Nothobranchius furzeri: one gene and its partner. The protein of the gene in region 1 interacts with the protein of each later gene in a pairwise test. Links are inferred from orthologs where the notes say so. Each region holds a gene or a part of one and is shown in the gene's direction. Other genes may lie near its edges. The genes, in order: mos and sec24c.

What was found.
Region 2: the proteins of mos (region 1) and sec24c interact in binary tests that used the Homo sapiens proteins (3 or more experiments, as listed by UniProt). The two-hybrid records come from large-scale screens. The link is inferred for Nothobranchius furzeri from reciprocal best matches to the Homo sapiens genes MOS and SEC24C.

The regions. Positions count from the first base shown.
Region 1 is NC_091747.1:36,175,964-36,182,386, forward strand, and holds mos (proto-oncogene serine/threonine-protein kinase mos), read left to right. Parts: upstream 1-2,367; 5' UTR 2,368-2,521; coding exon 2,522-3,550; 3' UTR 3,551-3,589; intron 3,590-3,694; 3' UTR 3,695-3,871; downstream 3,872-6,423. Other genes in the region: metalloreductase STEAP2, read right to left, coding at 5,739-6,032.
Region 2 is NC_091756.1:44,412,910-44,419,385, forward strand, and holds part of sec24c (protein transport protein Sec24C), read left to right. Parts: intron 1-422; 5' UTR 423-441; coding exon 442-601; intron 602-756; coding exon 757-834; intron 835-4,267; coding exon 4,268-4,394; intron 4,395-6,476. UniProt on the Homo sapiens protein: Component of the coat protein complex II (COPII) which promotes the formation of transport vesicles from the endoplasmic reticulum (ER).

The DNA.
Region 1 (6,423 bases):
AAACAATCTCAATAAGAGTCAGAAATTTCGATAATGATAAATTTTCGATTCATGGCCCTGCCCTACTGTCAATAAAAAACTTACTAAATGCTGAGAAAACTGGGTGCAGAGTGTGGGTTAGGGGTTAGGGTTGACCTATAAGAAAACATCTGATCAACCATGCTAGGGTGGGACATTCATGGTGAATATGTGAGACAGCTGTGGAATGTTTTAGAAATAACACTTTTTTATTAGGCTAATGCTTAAAAAGCAAGTCACCCCTTACAAGAAGCGTACTTCACTCCCACTTCATGTTTGAAAAATGCAACAAATGCTGTTGCCTAGCAGACCGAGAGGGTGGAGCCACTAACAAATACACACACTCACGACATTGTGACATCATAATGTACCAGTTTACATCATAGCATACCTCTTACCCAATAGCGGTGGCAGATTTAAATTCAAATGTAGTGAAGAGTTTTTACCTGACAACGGCACAACACTGACAGTTTCAGGCAGAAAATTTAAATTTTACCTAAAATGCACTAAAGTGCAAAACTATTGACTACACGTGTCTGCAGCTCAATTAGACACGCATTTATATAGTTTATCATAAAAAAAATAGTTGATTTGGGGGTGACTTGCTCTTTAAACTGATATGCTCCTCCAGATTTACTGTTACAAGCCAAACAGTGTTACCTGGCGTTTCTCTCGTTACTGTTCCACAGCCTGTTCCTTCTAAACCCGAAAAATGGAACTAGCCACAGGCTCTTTGACACTTTTCACAGAAAAGTCGTTAACAGACTCATCGATAGAAATGAAGGATGACCATTAAAGCTGATTTACGCAAAAAAGATGAGAATGGTTAAAAAAGGAGGGTGAAGCCCAACAGCAATAATACTGACTAACAGACCCACTAGCTGACTGGTTCTGCCGCCGCGTTTGCTCCCAGTGGCAGGATCTGGGTGGAGGTCATAGGTGAGTGTGATCGCTGTAAGCTTTGGTCACGTTGGCGTTGTTTGTAAATCGCAGCACTTTTTGTAAATAGAACACCTCAGTTCCTCCAGTAGCCTCTGTTCTAAACCCTTACCACAAATGTATAGATGATATATTTAGCTATTGTAGAGAACAGTTATATGTAAATACTATATAAAGTGTTTTATTTTTACAGGTACCGTTTTGGCAGTGTTTTCTTATCAGAGTGTAATTTTTGCTTTACTTGCACAACAGTTCTGCTTTATCAAGAGTTTTTTTTTAACGAGAAAAAGCATCTAAACATTTATTTTTCTAGGTTGAATAAAACTATTGGTCCCCTGGAGTAAACCCACCCACTGGTGATCAACAGCGTTATATTTATTTAACGCTGTGGGTTTTGCTCACACATCTGACATTTTACACATTAGAACCTAATGAAACAAATGACATTTTCACTAACAGACGTTTCCTGAACATGTTCAGAACCGTAATGCTAACTGATTGTAGCTCTGGACTGAATCCAACCCTGTTCTGGTGATCCAGACCCGTTCTAGGCCTGTGAGCTTGAGCGGTACCGGTCAACCTTACTGAATGTGTTGGTTAGAAACACTGCATTAGGATTGGAAATGCTGCTACGTGAGTCTGGAGCTCTTTAAGGTGCTACAGACATTCCTGGTCTTTAAATGCAATGTTTGTACTTTGCTCCGGTTCTTTCTAATACATACTTACATCTGTTTGTATACATCCATATTTATATAGTTATATAAAGTCTTTTTATTGTACTGTGACTTTTGAAGTCCTTCTGCAGACGTGCCTGAAACGCCCCTCCCCAGACAGAAACCGCTTCAAAGCCTGTTGGTTTTTAAATCTCAACTTTTCTCTATACTTCACAAACTACTGTTGTATTTTTCTACGTATCGACGATATAAATCACAAACATGTGTAGAGGTTGTATAAAATGGATATTAAGCTGCAGCTGTTGTTTTGTTTGAAGTTCATCCAAAGAAACAGATTATTTATTGCTCTGCAGAATAACCTGATTTCACTCACACACCTCGCTGCTATGAGACTCCAGTGTTTTGATTCTGTCGTGAGACTCAATAAAGAGAGAAACATCTAACACACACTCTCTCCTGGTCTTCCTTCTTCACTAAACGTTTCGGTTCTGGATCAGAACCAACAGGACTGTGTGTGGGCTGGTGTTTTATGGATGTTTAATCTGATTGATGGTAATTCAATAGATGTTCTCCAGTAGAACCCTCCAGAATATCTCAGTTTCTTTGTTATTATTGTTGTAGGTGAAGAACTGAGCCTGGGTGTTTTCACCAGAGCTCGTGCAGGTCGGGCTCATGACCTTTGACATGCTTTTATGCATCAGTCTGATGATCAGAACAAGAACCTTTTAAAACTGGAATATTTGTGGTTCCTCTCAGTTCGGTTCTGACCGCGGTTCTAGACCCTCTTCGAGGACCTACAAGAGTTCCAACCATGATGCATTGCAGCATCCCGTCACGCACCGCGGCAACTCACCTGTGCACGTGGACGCACCTGTGTTCGCTCGCTCGGCATGCCTTCACCCATCCCAGTCACGCGCCTCCTACCCAAGGACCTGTACCCGTGCGTGGACATCGGAACCTGCAGCAGCCCGCTGGCCCAACCGGGACGTGGGTCCACCTTACAGGTCCCGGCTCAGCGGCCGCACGGCAGAGTCACCAGCCGGTTCTGGTCCACCGTGATCCACTGGGACCAGCTGCGCTCCGTGGTGCCGGTGGGTTCTGGTGGGTTCGGTTCCGTCTATAAGGCGGAGTACCTGGGAGAGACTGTGGCTCTAAAGAAGGTGAAGAAGAGCTCAAAGAACCAGCTGGCGTCTCGGCAAAGTTTCTGGGCCGAACTGAACGCTGCGCACCTGACCCACAAGAACATCGTGCGCGTCCTCGCGGCCACCACGTGCGTGCCCGCAGACTTTGAGGTGGAGGACAGCATCGGAACCATCCTGATGGAGTTCGTGGGCAGCCGGAACCTGCAGCAGATCATCTACGGAAGTTCGGAGCTGCTGGAGCCGAACCGCTCTCTGAAGTTCTCGGCGGACATCGCGGACGGGTTGCGGTTCCTGCACTCCCACGGTGTCGTGCACCTGGACATCAAACCGGCCAACGTGCTCGTGTCCCGGACGGAAGTGTGCAAGATAGCGGACTTCGGCTGTTCCCTGAAACTGGACCGGGATCCCGAACTCATCAGTCCTTATTTGAGCCACGTGTGTGGAACCTACACGCACCGAGCCCCGGAGCTGCTCCGAGGAGAACCGGTCTCCTCCAAAGTGGACATCTTCTCGTTCGGGATCACATTGTGGCAGCTGCTGACCCGCGAGCCGCCCTACACCGGAGACCGGCAGCACATCATGTACTCGGTGGTGGCGCACGGTCTGCGCCCGTCTGTCCAGAGCCACTCGGTGTTCAGGTCCGACTGGGGGCGGCTGTGCGCAACGCTGCTCGGACGCTGCTGGAGCGCAGACACGCGCCTCAGACCGAGCGCCTCTGAGCTGCTGGATCAGCTGGAACATCTGGGTCAGCAGCTGGGTCCACACAGCGGGTTTTAATGTCCAAACCACAGAACCCAGACTAGCACTGGCTCTCAGGTGAACTCTGAGTTTTCATTCTTGGCTTAATAAATGTTGTAAGATTTGTTTGATTTCATTAAAATCATTTTAAAGGTTTCGTGTTTGGTTTTAATTTGGTTCCAGGTTGCTGCTCGTGGTGGACTTGCTGGGTGCACGTGGGCTGTGGATACACCCCCACCCTATAGGTTTCTATTTAAATGCAAGAATGATTTTATGTGATTGTTTTATACATGTGAATAAAATGAAATACTCTAGAGAAAATAACTTCACAGCCTAATAAAAGCAGCCTTTAGTCTCTGGGTTCAGACCATGTCATATAAAACTTCAGCTGTCTGCTTCAGTCTTCCAAATTTTGGACTCAAGAGGTTAAAATGTGTTCATATCAAAAATCTCATGGGATTTTTTTCTTTAACCAAAATCAGCAATAAAACAGGTTTCTATGGGATGTTGATATATAGAGTAAAAAATCTAAAATGACACTGGCACCGCTGGCCCATAGACACATTTCATGTGACATCAGACTGAAAACTTGGTGCACGCTTTGGGGTCACACTGTATTCCAAGTGGTGTTGGAAACAAAACGCATGTAGTGTGTGAGTGACACTATATTGTCTTGATGTCTGTGCATTGGGACATGTTGGCAGCAGGGAGGGCCAGAGGGACACATTGTCCTCCTCTTTCCAGAACAAGAAATGTTAGTGTGTTTAACCTTTAACCCTCCTGCTGTCCTATTGGCTGACCCTTCCACGACAGAGGATGGTTAAGCAGGGTTGATGGTTTATCCCTTGGGGTTCCATGTGGCAGGAGTAAGGTGGTGCTCACTCCTCAAAACTATAACAAAAACACAAGTGGGGTCCATTGGACTCTGCTAGGAATGTGGCTGGGTTGAAAAACAGAAGAAAAAACATGACAACCACCACTGATCAGCTGCAACAGGATTAGTTAACAAACATCGAGAAAGGCATGCAAAAGTTGAAACAGCGCACACATTGTCCATCAAACCCCACTGGGACTGCAAGAGGCAAACTTTGGATCAAGACCTTTTGAATGCTCTCAGGAGGACTCACCGCGTCTAGATTAGTGAAGAAACTGGGAAAAACGAATGAAAATTAAAATAAATAAATAATAAGAACACCAGGACTCCATCTGACCTTAATAGGAATGCAGGTGGGATAGAGTAGGTTTATTCAACCCTGGTCCCAAGGCCACTCCTGCATGTTTTCTATGTTTCCTGCTCCAACATACCTGGACTCAATGGGTGATGAATAGGCTTTAGAAGAACTAGAGGACATACTGAAGATGTGACTCAATCATTGAATCGGGTGTGTTGGAGCAGGGGAACGGCTAAAGCATGCAGGCCAGTGGCCCTCCAGTACCATGAGTGAATAGATCAGGGCTCACCGACTCCACCACCCTCCCTAACCCATACCTTACAACATTTTTCCCTGGCTGACTTCAACTGTGTGTCAAATAAGAGTCTTCGGTGGGCAAACAGCTTGTATGAAACACAACGCAATACATTTTAATACGTTGGCTGAATGTGAAGAAAAAAATATACAGATACATTTATAAAGGATGTTTTAGTATGAATTCAAGCCATTTGAGATGCCTCTCAGGTTTAGATGTACATTTCTGTTTTCTAATTTGCCAGTAGTCTACAGACCATCACAACATTAAAATATTCAGATCAGTTCCTGTGAGTATGGGATCACAGTGTAGGTTACAGTTTGTCTCAATATTGCTGTTAACAGACAGCACCATGTCTGTTTTATAAACTCCGTTTCACACCATGTCTGCTGCTTGTGAATGCTCTTTATCTGTTAACACTACTGTGAATGAAAGTTACACACAAACAGGATTCATAAACACCAGATAATGATGGAGTCACCAACGTTTCTAAACAGGGTTTATGAATGCTGTTAAAAACAGACTGAAGGCAGTTGTACGTGGTGTTCTGACCCAATATAACTATGTGGTGTTTTGAGTCACTATACCAGTCTGGTAGGGATGAATAACTCTGATCTGATACTTAAGATACGTTTCTGACATCCTACACAGAACACATCAGATAAAACACCAAAAAGGTAAATCTAGAATATTCTTGAAGCTAAAACAAACTAGTGTCCACCAAGAAATGGCCTAGAATTTAGATCCAGTAAAGCAGCGATCACATGATGGTAACTCTCTCAGGTGAGACATTAGTAGCTGATCCAACAGGTTCCAGTCGCTGGCACTTGTACATGTTGGTATCCAGACCTTTACGGATCTGGTGGAGCTTGTAAGCCACACAGGGGAGCAACGTCAAAACCTTCCCCAATATGACACACACCGGCAGTGCCAAGGACACCACAAAGCTAGGGGGCAGGTAGAAACGGTAGGCCTCCTCTTCAAAAGCTCTTTTCCAGCCAAACAGAAGACCGTGGAGAGTGGCGATGACAAGGGCAACATAGCCCAGAGTGGACTGAAGAAACACATGAGAGAGACAGTTTAGACAGGCACCGCTCATCACGTGTCCAATACATTCCCCACAGTGAAGCACGGTGGTGGCAAAATCATGCTGTGGGGATTTTTTTTCAGCTGCAGTGACGGGATGACTAGTTGCAATCGAGGGAACGATGAATTTGAACAAGTACAGGTATATCCTAGACAAGAACCTTCTCCAGAGGGCTCAGACTGGGCCAAAAGGTTTACCTTCCAATGTGACAGTGACCCTAAACACACAGCTAAAATAATGGAGGAGTAGCTTCACAGCAATTCTGTGACTGTTCTTGAATGGCCCAGCTCGATTGGGTTTAAGCCCTGACTTAAACCCAATCGAGCACCTCTGGAGAGACCTAAAAATGGCTATCCAC
Region 2 (6,476 bases), on another chromosome or scaffold:
TTGTTGTCTTTGTTGCACCATTTTCATGTAAAACTGCTGATTAGTTTATGCTTGGACTCTGAAGTCAGGAACCAATGGAAACCGTGTAGGAAAGGCCATAACAAACATCACAAACCAGTGAAGGTGTTGTACTTGAACCAGGAAACAATAACCTTACAGGATGGTTTAAATTTGTCAGACAGAAGCTATCAAGTCTTTTGTGTTTATGTTTGTGAAGAGAGAAGATTGAAGGACATACACTTCAGAAGATGAAAAAAGTTGTCATTATTTATACTCTATTAGTTGTGTTTTTGATTATTTCACGATTAGTTGTGCTCATGACCCCAACATCATCTGTGTCTCAAGGACTTTCGCATATCTCCTAATCATGTTTACACTTAGCAAACAGATGAAACAAGTTGTTTTCTGACATTTTTGTCTAGCTTTAGGGATGAACTGAGGATGAATGTAAACCAGCACACTCCAATGGCCTCTCCATATGGCCAGCCCCAGCCTGGCTATGGTCAGCCCAACTACGCACCCCTGGATGGGGGGTACCCAGCTTCGTATGCACCCTACAATGGTCCTGCTTCCGCCTATCAGCCTGGGGTTCCACCTCAAGGTAAAACACTGCTTCCAGACCAGCTTCTGTGTGAATTAAATCTCAGACACATCCACTTGAGGAGAACCCTGTGCACACTAATCTAAATCTTTCATTTCTTCATTTACACTCATTGCCTCGTATCGTCTGTATTTGCCCTCTTTCTTGTATTTCAGGTTATTCTTTCACAAGCTTTCCTTCTAAGGCTGTGGCAGCCAACCCAGCCTCTGACCTCTCCTCTTCTCTTGACTTAGGTAACTGCCTCTGCCTTTCACTCGTTTCACTCATCGACATACATACAGGTGCTGGCCAGTAAATTAGAATATCATCAAAAGGTTGAAAATATTTCAGTAATTCCATTCAAAACGTGAAACTTGTACATTATATTCATGCAATGCACACAGACCAATGTATTTCCAATGTTCATTACATTTAAATTTGATATTCATAAGTGACAACTAATGAAAACTCCAAATTTGGTATCTCAAAAAATTAGAATATTCTGAAAAGGCTGAATATAGAAGACACCTGCTGCCACTCTAATCAGCTGATTTACTCAAAACACCTGCAAAGGCCTTTAAAAGGTCCCTCAGTCTTGTTTTGAAGGCACCACAATCATGGGGAAGACTTCTGACTTAACAGCTGTCCAAAAGACAATCATTGACACCTTGCACAAGGAGGGCAAGACACAAAAGGTGATTGCTAAAGAAGCTGGCTGTTCGCAGAGCTCTGTGTCCAAGCACATTAACAGACAGGCGAAGGGACGGAAAAAATGTGGTAGAAAAAAGTGTACAAGCTCTAGGGATAACCGCACCCTGCAGAGAATTGTGACGACAAACCCATTCAAAAATGTGGGGGAGATCCACAAAGAGTGGACTGCAGCTGGAGTCAGCGCTTCAAGAACCACCACGAGGAGACTCATGAAAGACATGGGATTCAGGTGTCGCATTCCGTGTGTCAAGCCACTCTTGAACATGAAACAGCGCAAGAAGCGTCTCGCCTGGGCCAAGGACAAAAAGGACTGGACTGATGCTGAGTGGTCCAAAGTTATGTTTTCTGATGAAAGCAAGTTCTGCATTTCCTTTGGAAATCAAGGACCCAGAGTCTGGAGGAAGAGCGGAGAAGCACAGAATCCACGTTGCATGAGGTCCAGTGTAAAGTTTCCACCGTCAGTGATGGTGTGGGGTGCCATGTCATCTGCCGGTGTTGGCCCACTCTGTTTCCTGAGGTCCAGGGTCAATGCAGCCGTCTACCAGGAAGTTTTAGAGCACTTCATGCTTCCTGCTGCTGACCAACTTTATGGGGATGCAGACTTCACCTTTCAACAGGACTTGGCACCTGCACACAGTGCCAAAACCACCAGCACCTGGTTCAAGGACCATGGTATCCCTGTCCTTGATTGGCCAGCAAACTCGCCTGACCTTAACCCCATAGAAAATCTATGGGGTATTGTGAAGCGGAGGATGCAATACGCTAGACCCAACAATGCAGAGGAGCTGAAGACGACTATCAGAGCAACCTGGGCTCTCATAACACCTGAGCAGTGCCACAGACTGATCGAGTCCATGCCACGCCGCATTACTGCAGTTATTGAGGCAAAAGGAGCCCCGACTAAGTATTGAGTGCTATACATGCACATTCTTTTCATGTTCATTCTTTTCAGTTGGCCAACATTAGAGAAACAAACATTTTTTCATTGGCCTTTAGAATATTCTAATTTTCTGAGATACCAGATTTGATGTTTTCATTGGTTGTCACCTATAAATATCAAAATTAAACGTAATAAACATCGGAAATACATTGGTCTGTGTGCATTGCATGAATATAATGTACAAGTTTCACGTTTTGAATGGAATTACTGAAATATTTTCAACCTTTTGATGATATTCTAATTTACTGGCCAGCACCTGTATATGGAGAATGGGTTTCCATAGACTCCAATAATAAGTTTTTGTACTAAAATGGGAGGTGGCCACCACCGCCATTTTGACCGTGTCACAGGTTCCATCAAGCCCAGACAATTCCATGAAAGGGAGGAGAGGTGGAGCTGAGGGTGGGGCTGTAAGGTTGGGATCAACTGACGACACCCGGTCGAACTAGCTACAAGCTAACCTGAAGCTAACCCAAAGCTAATGCGGAGGTGGGAGCTAAGCTAACGGAGACAGCAACCTAGCTATAACCGGAGTTAACTGTGCACAACACCAGAGCTTCTGAGTCAGAGATACGCCGGGCTGACCGCTGGGTAAAACCGGGTGGAACACAGAGGTCTCCGAGAGCTCCACAAGCCGGCAGCCGCACAGCAGACAAGCACCGCTGCAATCTGAGATGCGCAGAGCTGCCGCTGGGGAGAACCAGTTGGAAAGGTTTCCATCCCAGAGCTCCACAAGCCGTCAGCCCGCACAGCACACAGAAGCCGCGATCAGACATAGATGCACCGAGCTGCGGGGAGGGGAGGACCGGGTGGAAAACAGAGGTCTCCCAAGAGCTCCACAAGCCGATAGTCGGAACCCAGCTCCACCAACATGTTATATTTCAACCCATTTTCTAAAGTGCAGCATTATGTTAAATGCACTGGGTTTGACCCTTTTACATTTAAATTTCATGGTTAAACAGTACATGTTAAAATCTAAGCTCAGCTCAGCAGTGACCTAAAATTCATAAATATATTTTTACTTACCGTAAAAAATGAAGTGGAGACTCCTTGGACGCTCTATTAGTGCAATTAATGCCACAGCAAGTCATTTTGTCCAACAATTGCACAAAAAATATCCAAAACAGAATACACAAACACAGAGACTCAAAATGCCGGAGCAGTTTGCAAGCCAGACCGAGGCTCTACTGAGGCCTTTCCACGGAGCTAGCTCTGTGGTCACATGGGTCTGATGCTCATTAATTATACAGAATTTTAGGCTTTTAATACACTTAAACAGAAGAGTGAGAAAAAAATTCACCCCCCTCAGAGATGTCATGAGTGTAAACTAGATCATTTAAACCAAAAACATGTTTTGGTACCAGGCTGTAAACATGTTTATTTCTGCTGTGAAATTGGTATTTTTAACATGGGAGTCAATGAGGATTTGCTCGCTTCTGACACCAGCCCCCAGCGGATGAGGGTGCAACTGCAATTTTTGGTACTTCCGGGTTGAGACCCAATTTCTGAGCCGCATTGTGGGGGCTTGGTTTCACTCTTCCTGTAACCATCAGGTCATTTGGATCTTACCGTCCCATCCTGTTTTCCTTGTGAACGACTGACCTTTGGCCCTCATTGTTTACTTTAGCAGTGGTTTACCTCAGCCAAATGTATTAAATGTGTTTCTGGTATGTGGATCATGTGGCTGTGTGTATTTTCACTCTGCATTTAGATCAAGTGTTTTGTTGATATTGATCTGGTGATTTAGTTAGTTTCTGTTGGTTACAAGCAGCATCTCTAAAGTATTAGGTGATATTCTCTTATTTTACTGCATCTCGATTGGCAGACAATCTTAGCTGACCCGGATTTTGGATCTAGTCTCAGCTCCTGACCCCAAAAGCCAAATCTTGGAATGTTATTAGTTGTAATTTGAAAATGTCTTTGGCATTTTGCTGTTAAGCTCGAAGCTCTGATTTAGTAAAATTTAGTGGATTTATGTATAAAAACTGTTTCATCCTATTTCTTTCTATTGTGCTTCATATAATCCTTTTCATCAGGTTCTGCTAGGGGTCCTCCCACCTCTGCACCCCCTCCGGTCTCAGCCCCTCAACAGTACAACCAGTACAGCCACAGTCCAGCAGACATGCAGAACGGACCCCCACCGATGACACAGGCGCCACCCAGGTACAATTCAGTTTGAATGGTTGTGTTTTTAAAAGAGCAAATTTACCGAGAAACCATTTTTTACTCATTATTCTTATAAATGATCAGTAACTAAGTTTTTCACGCAGGCTGAACATGAAAATAGTCTCCTACACCTATCTCCTGCATTAGTTTCTGATAATAGATGGTGAAACTCTAGGATAGAGACCAACTGATATATTCAACTATTTCTGTTATTGGCCATCGGCCGAAATGATTTTTAAAGGCTGATTAATCAATTAACATCAGGCACCTGTGTGGCCAACTGCCACCTCTACTAGACTGAAGAAAGGACCTGAAGGACCCCAACACACCGCGAGCCATGCTAGAACCTTCTTTTAATTTACATTGTTTTATGCTAAGCTAAAACAAAACGTACTGCTTCCAGATCAGGAGAATAACTGAGCTTGTTGGCTACACAATCATTTTTCTGACTTCTCTAACTGGGAACTCTAACAACAGACAAAATTTTACTTCTGAGTGGAATATCCCTTTAAGTTTGGTGTTTAACTCATTTACTACCAATGACGACTTTGCATTTTTTTACTGTGTGGGCATCAGAACGAGCCCCCACACCGTGAAAACAAACGTCCCAGCTCTAAAGCCGATCTTCATAAGCGTACGCCACGCATCACGTGATCAGGAAACAGAAAATCCATGTGTTAGAAGATCGTTTTGGGCCGCTGCTGTAAAAAAAAAAGTGAGGCGCGAACCGGAAAAGCTTCTGCCGATCACAATTCAACAACAGGTTGTGAAAGAACAGATAATGCTTGAAACGCGCGGATTCTTCTTGTTGTAAGAGGTGAGTCTACTCTTTGTTTTGGTTGTTTTGGTAGTTTTGGCGCTGACATCATCTTAAAGCGCAACGTTCTGACGATAAGTCGCATTTTGGGGGGAAATTTTATTATTTTTCTTACAAAATCTGAGACCAAGCATTTCACATTGCAAGACAAGTACCGGTAACAATAAAAGAATAAACAACCAGCTGTTGCAATATTGAGGCATTGAGGTGTGGAGCAGAGGATGCCTGGATGTGCACCACTGGCAGCGGGGAGGGAGAGCTGCAGCCTGGGTGGGTGGGTGGGGGATCCAGGGTGCTGCAGCGCGCCACGGTCTCCAGCAGAGGATGGCGGTGTTTCAGACCCTCCCAGTGGGTGGGGAGAGCTCATTCCTGGGCTGGAGCCGGCCCGCAGCACCCCGTCACAGGCTGCAGCAGGTGATGGCGGTGTTTGAAACCCTCCCAGCGGGACAGGGGAACTCATTTCCGGGTCAGAGCCGGCCCACAGCGGCGCGCCACAGGCTCCAGCAGGTGATGGCGGGGCAGAGGAGCTGAAACCAGGTCCGGAGCCGGCCCGCAGCAGCGCAGTATACATAATTTGGTATATAAGTCGTAGGACCAGCCGACTATAAAAAAAAGTGCGACCGATAGTCCAGAAAATACGGTAATCGGCTTTAGTTATCAGTCATCAGCAACAAAATTCTCGAAAAATCTGTATCGGTGTTGGCTAAAAAAAATAAAAAAATAAAACCTATCGGTCGGCCTCTACCCTTAAGATTTGAAAAGCCTGACGGATCTGAATCACACTGTCATACACTCACCCATCTTGACTCCTGACGGGGAAGGCTGTTGTTGGTTTAGCATCCATAAAACACAAGAGAACCTCTCGACTAGCAGAAATTACCTGTTAGCATTAGCAGCTCCACCACTCAGCAGAACTCCACCAGGATTGTGTTATTTGTGGAGATAGAACATCAACATTGCAGAGCAAACAGAGTCAGTGGTGGACTCACTTTGCCGTTAGACAGTCGGAGGCGATATGTCCAAAATTCAAGAAATAAGACTCCAAATCCTGTCGTCTGCTGCCAATTTCTCCACTGACTGACTAGATTTCAAACAGAAGCATCTGAGCTTTTGTTTCCCCAGAGACCAACTTACAAGGCACTCATCCCACTTAGAGACCACTGCAAATGTATAATAATATGAGTAAATTTGATCTTTGAATTAATTCAAATTCAGAAGCCTGCCCAAGCTGCCATTTAAACACACCAGACAGTTATGAAGCC